Drosophila melanogaster: one gene and its partner. The protein of the gene in region 1 interacts with the protein of each later gene in a biochemical or structural test. Each region holds a gene or a part of one and is shown on either strand. Other genes may lie near its edges.

Region 1 (5,303 bases):
ATGTATGTGCTTTCCCCCGGCTTGAATATTTGCCCAAAAACAGCAACTTATCAGCACACGACCGCCATTGGCCTGAAAACACCTAGTCTTATCAGGATCGAACTTAGGGGAAGGAGGGAAGTCCACTCGCATTAAAATAAAAAATTGTTTTGGGATCGGAAATAATTTACCTACATAAAGCCATATTACTTTAATGCACTATCAGCTATGAGTCACACAAATCAAAGTAATTAGAAAATATTTGATTACCTCACAATTTCCCAACACCTTCCCATGGTATACAAAAATAATAGTAAATACAATAATAAACATAAAAAAAATATACAGAATTGTGATTTTTGTTGATTTCAGTCAGAAGACCGCAACGCAGTGAAGAAGACATTTGCGTATTTTTCTTTCGAAATTTCTGTGCACACAAACGACGCATTCAAAGTGTAAACACCAAACATATCATTGCAATCCATTAGTTTAAAGCCTTTGATTACAAATATACCAATTATTTTAAATGGGATAAAACCAGTTTTAATGGCATAAATTCTTTAAAATATATGTCTATATACATATCATTGAAACATGCACAGTTGTATATACTTTACATATATGTAGTACAATATACTTGCTTTAGTATGTCCTTTTACTCTACGATTAAGGGGTTTAAATACTTTTATTATTCTTCTGTCTGGTTTTAAATATCCATTCTATAAATTCTATAAAAAAATAGGTAATTTTGCGCTGAGCTAAAAATTATAACTCCAGGTAGTCGGGGAACAGAAGAGTGAAAGGTAGGGGACGATGTGTCAATTGCATATCCAGGTAGACATAATAAAGCCCGATAGTTAGGAAAAAAAAGCAACGGAAATTCGGGGGAATCAGAAAAAATATGAGATTTCCATTTCGGTGCAGATGTGCATACGAAAATTTTGACCGATAACAACACATGATCCTTACACTAAAAGTAGTTCAACATTATTAAGGTAGATACATTTTTTAAATTAAAGTTATCAATAAATAAAAGCCCTTTAACTAGGACTTGTACTAGCAAAATATTAATATTTTTATTAATTTCAGCAAACGTTTATTTTAACAATTGATAATTAAATTGGTAGTATCGTACCACACACAAATTTATAATTGACTTTTTAGCACACTCACCTTTGCGTTTTCTCACAATCTAACGATACAAGCATTTGCACATATCAGCACAATGACAAAACGGCAATTGTTAAAAATCCAATAAATAAAAATTCGTTCACTTTAGATCACGACTCGAAGAACCACAATTACAGCACGCGAAAAAATCTCCAGTTCGCTGTTGGAAGACAGCAGTTTTACTATTCTGGTGAACCGATCGTCACAGGAGCGATGACTTGAATATTCTGAGGGAATTCCGGAGGGACAGTTTGTTTCGACTGAACAAACATTTTCTTTTTATTTTATTTGTATATTCGGAATTCGAGTGAATAATTCAGTTCAAATTCAGATTTGGTAATTGAAACATTATGTCTTGACAAGACTTTAAATACACTACCAAAATTATCACTTGTAATGGGGCTGGTGAGTGGTAATTTTAACCACAAAAAATATTAAAATCCTAGCAAGTATTTTTGGATTTTTTTTATAGAAAGACACCAGAGAAAGCCTATATGGCGTTTAACAACTCATTTTCAAATGCTTTATTTCAATCGTAGATCGTGCGGGTTAAAACCATGGTCATTGTATTCAGGTATGATATGATATGAGCACTAAAATATATATTTCTTTTAAAAAAGTTGTTGAACATAAAGAAGTCTTAACAAAGTGAAAACTAGTCACGATCGCAACACGAACATAAATAGCTAAACTTGCCACTAGCCGCCAGATCACAAATCTTCCCGCATTAAGGAGTTAAAAAACAACCTAAGTAGAAAAAAAAACCAAATTGGTCTGGCTTATAGGTATTCATAAAATTTTATAAATACATATAAATGCACATATGCTACTCAACAACATAAAAATCGACTCTCTTGCCCACTATCTCTCTTCTTAATGTTTTTATTGTATTTTTTTTTGGGATATTTACTTTCGATTATTTGCTAAATTAATTCTTAGCACCAACAATAATTTTACCATCATTTTTATTATCGGTTTATTAAAATTTATATATTTTAAGATTAATCGTTCATATAAAAAAATTCAGAGCCCGTCAAGCCCTCCCTACAAAGGCTCTGGAATAAGTCTAGTGTCTTTGCTCCCTCTCTGTCAAATCACCTAAAAAGAAGCTGGCAAAAACTCCAGACAAAAAGACATCACGAAATTGTTTTTCTGTATACTACAAGTGTATACGAATATGTTCTTAAATCGTTGTTTCCAAAATTAAAAATGTATGTATATATTGATGGTCAATTACCTGTATTTCGAGTAAAAGTTCCTGCTTCTTGCGTCGCAGCTCAATCAGCAGTTTTTGCTGCTCCGGTGTAAGTTCTGCAAGAACGAGATGCGAATCAATAATAAATTCATATACTTGTTTCTGGGCATTTTGTAAATTGTATCGCAACACCAACAGTAAAAATAAAAAACACCAGAGCAGCATTCCAGGCACACGCGCCCAACACACATACACACGTGCATACACGAGCTGTTTGCGATGCGATGAAAGCATCTTGTAGGCTACGTCACTAGCTTAGGCCGATAAACAATTTTCACTTGTCGAAACCACAATGGATTGCTAATTGTGCAAATTGGCTTATTAGCGTTACCAAAGCTCTTCGGACTTAATTCTGACGAAGGCCAAAAACGAGAACGCAATGTACATATGTACATAATATACATACATATGTGCACTAACATTTCACCTAGCACACAAGTCTATACATACAAATGTTGCTTGTTGCTTCTCTTATTTTGTAGTTGTGGGTATCCCAATTTGTGATCTTAATAAAATTTTATCAATACAAAGATTCGTATTCTGTTCATGCTAGGCTATATCCTTCGGGCCAGCAAAAGTATCTGCTGTTTACCTGGCATTGAGAATTCACTGCGCCCCTTTGATATGGCACCGTACGATCTGTTGTCGAAATTGTCCATTGCGCTAATCATCGCGGAGCTACTGAGCTACTACACACACTCTCGCGCACACGACACACACTCTAGTTGTACATTTTTCACCAGCAGTTGGCTAATTTTTAAGGCTTTTCATTGAACAATCAAAGACGAACGGATAATAAACAAATCAACACCAAAAAAATTCTATCGCCATTTTCTTTCAGCTCTCCACTAGGGATGTGCTGAATTCAGCTATCGGTTGAGTAAACAACTGAAAAATAACAAGTGCATGCTGACTTAAGCTGGGTGTTACGCGAGCTCTGTGTGGCCACTTTTAAAATATCCTGATGCCACTGCATCTTGTAACCAAACGTAAGAACTTTTTAATCAGTAGAACTAAAAAAATTAGGGCTAATTATTTACTTGCAACAATACATTAAATATTTTTAGGGGTACACTTTTTCAGAGATTAGAGCAGACCTTATCTATTTCAAGACAAATAGCTTGAAAAGCTGTAAAACAACTTTGTTACATCCATTATGGTGTGATTTGCGGGAATCGGCTATTACCATTTCGAAAATTGTTTGTTACAAGTTAAAAACATAAACTTAAAGTTTTGGACGTACATAAAAATATAACATTAAAACAACCTTGTTATAAAAAAATACAATACCACCAATACTTACTGTCCATTTTAAATCTGTTAAAAAATTCACTGAACGAATACGTCTTTCGTCATAACTCCATTTAAAATATCGTCAGGAAATTTACACATCATTTCGTTTTTTTAACGGCACAAACACCTCGGACTTGGTGGCAACGCTGCCAACATATGTGTGCACTGGCATCGATAATTTTTACATCCCTATTTTGAACCGCAGAATTCTAGAAAATTCCACTCGCTGGCCATAGTAATTGTCCGAATTAGTTTAAGCTAAGACTGCCGGATCAAAAGTAAACCAACATCTTCCATCTTTTCATAAAATTGAAGACAGTTTCATACAATTCTACAGTAAGAAAGCGATGGCCAAGTGGGGAGAAGGAGATCCGCGCTGGATTGTGGAGGAGCGGCCCGACGCCACCAACGTGAACAACTGGCACTGGACGGAAAAGAACGCCACGCCATGGTCCAAGGACCGCCTGCATCAGCTTTTTCAGGATTTCAAAATAGGCGAGTATATAAGAATTTGTAGTAGTGTAGAACATACATTTTAGGTATATCCTAACCTAAAAGTAAACTTCTCAAAACGCAGGGCAAAGCGACATTGAGTGTGCCGTGGACTCCGTGGACAAATGCTCCGGGGAGGCCACCGTGAACAATCGCAAGGGCAAGCTCATATTTTTCTACGAGTGGGAGCTGGTGCTCAAGTGGTCTGGAAAGCTCCTAAAGAACAGCAAGCTGATCCACAAGGGCAAGTTAACCATTCCCAATCTCTCCGAGGAGAACGAACTAGCCGACGTAGAGATCACGGTGACAATCGACGAGTCCAACGACGAGTCGGAGACCCTGAAACAGTTCATGTACAACGTGGGACGAGACCGCGTGCGGCAGCAACTGGCTTCCTACATCCGAGAGTTGAAGGAGGAGTACTCCAAGAACCTTATCCTACCAAAGAAGGGCGACGAGGCCGGAGCGGGAAATACTGTGGCGAATTTTAAGGATGCCAACAATACCCGTAATGCAGCCCAAAATATCGCTTTAAACTCCTCGGTGGCGGCTCCTAGGCTGAAGAACTCTGGCATCGGCTGTAAACTGGACGTTCGCACTCTCTCGATGACCGAAGAATTTCACTGCAGCGCCAATGACCTTTACAACGCTCTCACAAAGCCAGAAATGGTCACTGCCTTTACGAGGGCACCTGCCAAAGTAGATGCCGTGCGCGGTGGAGAGTAAGTTTTTGTCCCTGGTCGTTTTATTTTACCATCACATCAGGACCGTTTGTGTCGTCATTTAGTAATCTTGTTATGAATAACCATAAATTTCGCCCCTCGCCCTTGTCTTCACTTCTTTATGGTAAGTAATCTTTTGTCTTTTATTGTAGATTTATTCTTTACGGAGGCAATGTGCTCGGAAAATTCGAAGAGCTCGTCCCTGAAAAAAAAATACAGCAGAGCTGGCGTCTGAAAAACTGGACATCTGGTCACTACTCAAACGTTGTCATAGAGCTGGAAGAAACTGTAAGTTACTAGGACAACGAAAACTAGATATATTATTATTTATTTTTTTAAATTGACCCGCTTAGTGATCCTGATTAACAATATACGATATAATTTTCAAAGAA
Region 2 (6,558 bases), on another chromosome or scaffold:
GGACATGTGCTGCCGGAATCGCAAGCACTCCGGTTTGATACCAATGGCCAACAGGAACTGCTGAATGCGGGCCATATAGTAACCAAGTGTCTCATTAGCCACCAGTTTGGATGCCACTGCTTCGCCGATTTGCACCTGAGCGGCAGACTTTCCATCCATCTGGTTGCACGCCGAGTAAAGGGTCAACTTTTCCGATTTGATGTTGCCAAATTTGGGATGGTCCTTGAGCACGGGATCACAGAAATGTTCAATCTCTGCCATGGTGAACTCTCGCACACGGATCAATCCCGATCGGGGTGAGATTTCATTGCGGAAGGAGTTGCCAATTTGAGCCACAGCGAAGGGAAGCTTGCCTTGATTGAATTCCAGCAGTCGCTTGAAGTTGACGAAGATACCCTGGGCAGTTTCGGGCCGCAGGAATCCCTTGACCAAGCCAGTGGGTCCAATTTGGGTGGCAAACATCAGGTTGAACTCAATCGGTTCTGTTAAATCATTGCCGGTTAATGGAGATTTGATGTTGTATTTGGCCAGGACACCAGCCAATTCCTGTTTGTTCAGGCCATCCAGTTTAATGATAATATCCTCACACTCGGCCTGCAGGGCGGGAGTTGCATCCTTGGCCTTAGATAGCTTTTCCAAAGCCTGCTTAATGAGATGATCCAGGCGGAAGCACTCGCCGGTCTTGACATCCTTGACCATCAGATCAGCGAAACGCTCCACATGACCAGAGGCTTTGAGCACAGGTTCGGGAGTCAGAATAGAGCAGTCCACCTCCAGCATTTGCTCTTCGAGGGCGAAATACTGACGCCATAGGGCCAGAATGTTGGACTTGAGGGCACAGCCCATGGGTCCAAAATCGTACTGGCCGGTGATGCCGCCATAAATTGCGAAACTCTGGTCGTAGAAGAAGCGACGCTTGAGTAGATCCTCCATCTTCGCGCGATCGAAACTAACGACACTGGGGGTCAGGGCGAGCTCTTTGTCCTCCAGCAGCTTCTTGCGTGCCTTCAGCTCGGCTACTGCCTTTTTCACATCGATCTCGGGGGCACCCTTCGCCTTGAGATCCCTCACCAGGTTACCCTGCTCCTGAACTCGTTCCCTCAATGGGGCAAGTTGAGCCTCAATCTCGGGATTCGACATGATGAACTCGGCAGCGGCGGATCTTAGTTTTACCTTTCTATTTTGCTTCTTGGTGCCCCAACTTGTGGTTGCAGCTGGCTGCTGCGGTTGCGTTGGTGGAGGTGGTGGTGGTGCGGAGGGAGTAGGTTTTGTGGTAGTGGTGCTAAAAAACACTTTCGTGGCAATGTGCTCGCTCCACGTTGTTCTTGCAATCTGAGTTCTCACGGCTGTGGTGGCGCTGCGCAGGTGGGGTAGCGCTTTTAACAACTGCAATGACATAAAGAGGCTTTTATTTTTTCAGCCGAAAAACGCGAATTTATGTAATAAACCGTCCAATTGGCTACTGCTGCAATACCTTCACTTTCGGCTGCAATTTCGACTTGGATGAGTCTTAGTCGGCCGGCTTGCAGCACTGTCTTTGCACAACACTGATTATGGTTAACAGAGCTGCTCAGTGATGCGCAATGTTGCGACTTTGGTAAATGTTATTTGTTTTTATTGTTTTATATTTATTTTTTATTTGCTATATTTGGTAAATGTGTCTTGGATAGTTTGGTTTCAACATAGTTTCAACATATTCTTTCATCTTTACTTATAGTTGAATAAGCGATGGAATTATTATTTAATAATATTAAAAAATTAATTAAATTTAAAAACAATGCTCTGATAAAATTAAGGTATCCCAAAATCACTGTTACCGTGTCGGCAACATTGATCACTTGTCCCTAACAGGGCGGCTGATAATAACAGCACCTTATGATGTTTTTCAGCACTCCAGTACATCGATATCGGGTAGGGCCTTCTTCGTTATCGATATGTTTAGTTTTTGTTTTAATTATGTAGGCGCAGCATTGCAGTCTGGTTTTTCCCATATAATTTGCTCAATTTTGGTTTAGTTCGGCCGAACTCAAGTGCTGCCCAAACCAATTGCTCAAACGCGTAGCGCACAAATTGAAAAACAAGCGGTTAATGTGAAAAACAGGACGAGTTTAGTTGTTTTCTATCCGAGGGGACGCGGCGTTGCAACAACAGCGACGCTATGCGACCGCATTTCGAGCGATAAAACAGAAAGGTGTGCTTCTCTCTCCCTCTCTCGGCACTCTCTCACCTGAGCTGCTAATACAAATGTTGTTTTCCTGCCAATTTTCCGAAATCTTTATTGCAAACACTTAAAAAATTAACTCATTCACAGGCGCTGCCACACATAACGGTTGATGTTTGTTTTTACGACAACGCACACACACGTACACCGGCCAAAGAGGCAGCGGTCACAACAACAAAGGTCTTCGTTCGGTGAGTTGCGAGTTGTTTTTGTTTAACCGTTTTTCGTTCTTGACCTGTTTTTGTTGTTGTCTTGTTGTTTTCTTTTTTTTTATGAGTGGGCCAATCGATCTGTATAAAGTATGCATTATAATTTATTTATTAGTCATAAGCGTAGTTTGTTATTGTACGTGTATGTGTGCACACCATTTTACATCATTTAACATGCACAGTGGAGGTTCTTTAATTAGAAACCAACCCCCACGATGAAAATTATTAAGAATGCGGAGAAAAAACCAGTTTGGTTCCTCTCAGCGAGCATCCACTGTAGGCGCACTTAATTCAACGACTTTTGCACGTTTGATATTAAGTCATCGCCGGCCACGAAGGCCAAACTCAAGACTGTACGAAACAAAACCAAAAAAATGTTCAAAAACACGGACACAACAAACCTAACAACACCTCATCGGGATGCTCTATGTTTTGGGTTAAAGTTCTGGCCATTTTTTTGAGAGGGTTCGCTTCAAGGTTTACTGTGGTTGTGGTGCGTGATGAAACGGGTTGGAAATCGGAAGCAAACAAAAACTAAGTCTGTACATACAACAAAAAGCATTAATATCCTAATAAACTAGTGCACGTCTCTAATTCAAAATGCTAACTCTGAACGAAATCATCCAGGGGTATTCGACAGCTCTGATACAATAAGAATTTATACAGTATATTTGAAAATAATTCAGATAGTTTTCGTAGACTAACTAAGAAAAATCAGCTTCTGAGTTACAGACTCATTCTGTTATATTTTCTTTCTTGTTTCAAAATGTTAAAAAAAAAATGTAGCAAACAAAAATGGAATGGTTAAAGTTTTGTATCAGAGTGGGGTGAATACCCCAAAATAAACCCATAAATTACATAAAAACAAAGGAGGCGACTGATCGAAGACTGCTTGTCTTTTCTAGGATCCCCTGAAATACCAAAACCCGCACCAACAACCCACCAACGAAGCCGACGAACCACTGGCGATGCAATTGAAAGCGCCCAAGAGCAGAAATATGGCCAGTCTTAAAGATGAAGATCAGGCGGCAACTACAAGCAACTCTATGCACAATCTCAACAACAACAACAATACGAATAACATAAACAATAACCACAGCAGCAGTAGCAACAACAATAAAATCGAGGATGATCCAAAGGTTAGGAAGGAGAATCTGGAGGCTAGGAAACAGGCCTTGGAGCAGCGTCTTAGCGAAAAAAGCTGGCTGCTGCAGCAAATCCAGAAACAGGAGACCGCCATCATCAATGGCAACTACGAGCACATGACGGTCAATGAGTTTTTTGTCCAATTAGCACAACAGTACAAACATGAACAGCAGCTGCAAGCGTTGGCAAGGGAAAACAGCTCAATTCTGAGGAGAAAACAAAGTACAACGAGTCGGGAAAGTCGCGACAGCCAAATGACCATCAACAATAACAATCGACAGTCGGAAACGCTATCGAATCGCAGTTCAGAATATGACAATTACCAACCCTCCTCATCGGCGGGGGCGGGCGATATGCTGGTAATAGGCGTGGCCCAGCAGCAGGCGCAACAACAACCGCCTCTGGTGAAGAGTGCCCTGAAGAAGCGACCAACACCCACGCCGAGTCAAATGCAATATATGCGCCAGCAGCATCAGCAACAAGCTCATTTAGCAATGAACATGAACTACCAGAGATCACAGCCGGATGTCATATCCATGTACTCGGCGAATTCATCCAATGTAGCAACTTTAAGGCAACCGCCACAAGTGGCGCCCCAGCAGCAACCAATTATAGTGCAGTGCGATAAATATTACCTATCGCCCACGCATCAAAGTTACAATGAGGGCGGCTTTATTAAATCAAGTCAGAACATCAAGAAATATGTGTCCCCAATGGCATCGCCCAGTAATATCAGCTACGAGCAGCAGCAACAGCGTAATCCTTTACATCACCAGCGACAACTAGATGCTATATCCCTTGCGCCCAGCTATGTTTCCGTCGATATGGAAGCTGCCCAGCATCAGCAGCAATATCGATGGCGTTCCCAGTCACACATAGCGCCCTTAACTCCTCCACAATTGGGCATAATAGAGGTGAAATCGCACTCCAGCGATATGCTGGCGGTGCCTATGCCACCCAGCCGCTATCCGCCGCACGATGAGATCTCACTGTCATCCTCGTCCACGACCATTGAGAAGAAGCCCAAGCCCAAGCAGTGGCTGGAATCTTCGCTAGATGGGCCAGCTGTTATCAGGCAGATGGATTCACAGCCCCACAGTCCAGCTGGGAGTAGTAATGGGAGTAGTAATCCCGGCGCAGCTGCCATGGTTTCAAGTAAACCCCGCGCTAAGCTCTCCTCGCAGTCCATGTCGGTAGCGGGTCGTCACTATTCCATGTCCAACCAGCGACCGACTCCGAATTATCCCAGTGCCAGCTATGCGGTGAATACCAGTTCGAAAGCCCTGCTAAGTCAATCGACTTCGTATCTCAATGCAATGGAGCAAACTTTGGGGATATCGGTATCGTATCCGCTGGAACCTCTGGACATACCAGCACTGCGAAACTTACCACCCAAGCCAAGTCAAATGCAGCAGCCAACGCCGCCGCCCAGACCGCCACCCGCAAATCAGGCTCATACTCAGAACCAGAACCTAAGTCACAGTGGTAATGGCAGTTCAAGCGGACTTGCTCATGGGAATGCTGTCCAAACAGCGCTTGTGTCACCGCCAGTAACAGTGGCCACAGCCAGTTTATCGCCGGAAATTCGCATCGAGTCGCCCAAAAACATGACCGTAGTTCAGCAGGCCACTTTCCAGCCGTACAAGGAAGTGACGAAACCCTTCGAGATGTCCGATTTCTACAAATACTCCACCAAGTTTAAGCAAAAGGAGGGCGGAAATCCTAATTGACCTATAAGGTTGTACGGAATTCTCATGCACTTTCACCTTTTAATGTGATTAACTAAACTAATTTTGTAGCACTGAGAAACTACAAAGCAAAAGCAGCTCAAACTATTGGACTCCTTTCGAATTTTAAGTTCGTTAGCCAAATTATTTAGGATCAAGAAAATAACAATGCTCAAAAGATCTGCCAAATTGAAAACTGACGTATTGAAAGCAATTTATCGAACGACATTCAAATTTTGTATTGAATTTTTAAAGTACAAAAAACACAGGACAATATTATCCCCGAGGGGGACAGAAATCGCCTTACAACAGGATGCCTAGAAAATATGGAAATATTTTATATAGTTAACAGCATTTATAAACAAATAACTGACTAGCTAACTAATAAGTGTATAAAGGATATTTACCCTAATCGAATGATATTTTTATATGAATATACCGATTGGATACTGATATATTCACCGAGTTTTCTTAAGACTAACTACCGACAAGCAATAACAAATAGATAAAAATAAATATTTTATATTAAAATATATGCGAGTGCGTTTTTATTGATATTTAAGCATTCAAATATTTCGTTGAACTTCCAATATTTTTCTCAAAACATTATTAATGCTCTTGTAGCATTTCAGATTTTTTGAATAATTGAAATGAAAAGAAAGCTTTATATTTCCCTAGCCTATAAATAAATGTCTCATTTATACCCATAAATGTGTTCTCACTTCCTTAAATCATTCCTTATCGAATATATCTTGTAGTTCCTTAATCTCTGGTTAAAACTTATTTATAGAACAACCGATAAAACTTAATTACTTTCCTCCCCTTTATCTCTCGGATTTCTCTTTGTTTCTCTCGCGATCTGGTAGTAGTACATTGAATTCTCTCTTTTGGACTCTCCCCAACTCAATGCCACTGCAACAAATTTTGTTTACGATTGATTATTTTTAAACAATCTCTTGTTGTGCTTCACTGAGCATTACAGTATCTGGATGGGGAGAAAAAGAGCGTGGATATCCCCCGATACCCCAAAAATATAAAGACTCTTCGCAATGGATTTGGTTCTCAGTTGCATCGCGCTCGCTATTACGTGCAACTGTTTCAGATCGGTTGCACTATTGGTTTTTTTTTGTTTTTAAGTTTCAAATTTGTCGGTTCTTTCTCCCTCGAGGAGCATTGAAAATCACATAATGATAAATTAAGAGTTCACGCTTTAAGTAGCTAGTTTCCCCCATTGTGTTGTCTTCGTGTTAAACTT

What was found.
Region 2: the proteins of step (region 1) and sstn interact in far-western blotting, tested with the Drosophila melanogaster proteins (2 studies listed by BioGRID).

What each region holds. Positions count from the first base shown.
Region 1 is NT_033779.5:21,754,168-21,759,470, forward strand, and holds the start of step (steppke), read right to left. Parts: upstream 3,300-5,303; 5' UTR 3,076-3,299; coding exon of another isoform or gene 2,997-3,075; intron 2,461-2,996; coding exon of another isoform or gene 2,387-2,460; intron 1-2,386. Other genes in the region: CG1416 (uncharacterized protein), read left to right, coding at 4,045-4,192, 4,275-4,911, 5,064-5,199.
Region 2 is NT_037436.4:15,090,102-15,096,659, reverse strand, and holds sstn (stepping stone), read left to right. Parts: upstream 1-1,940; 5' UTR 1,941-2,191; intron 2,192-2,311; 5' UTR 2,312-2,412; intron 2,413-3,335; 5' UTR 3,336-3,398; coding exon 3,399-5,306; 3' UTR 5,307-5,837; downstream 5,838-6,558. Other genes in the region: GlyRS (Glycyl-tRNA synthetase), read right to left, coding at 1-1,398.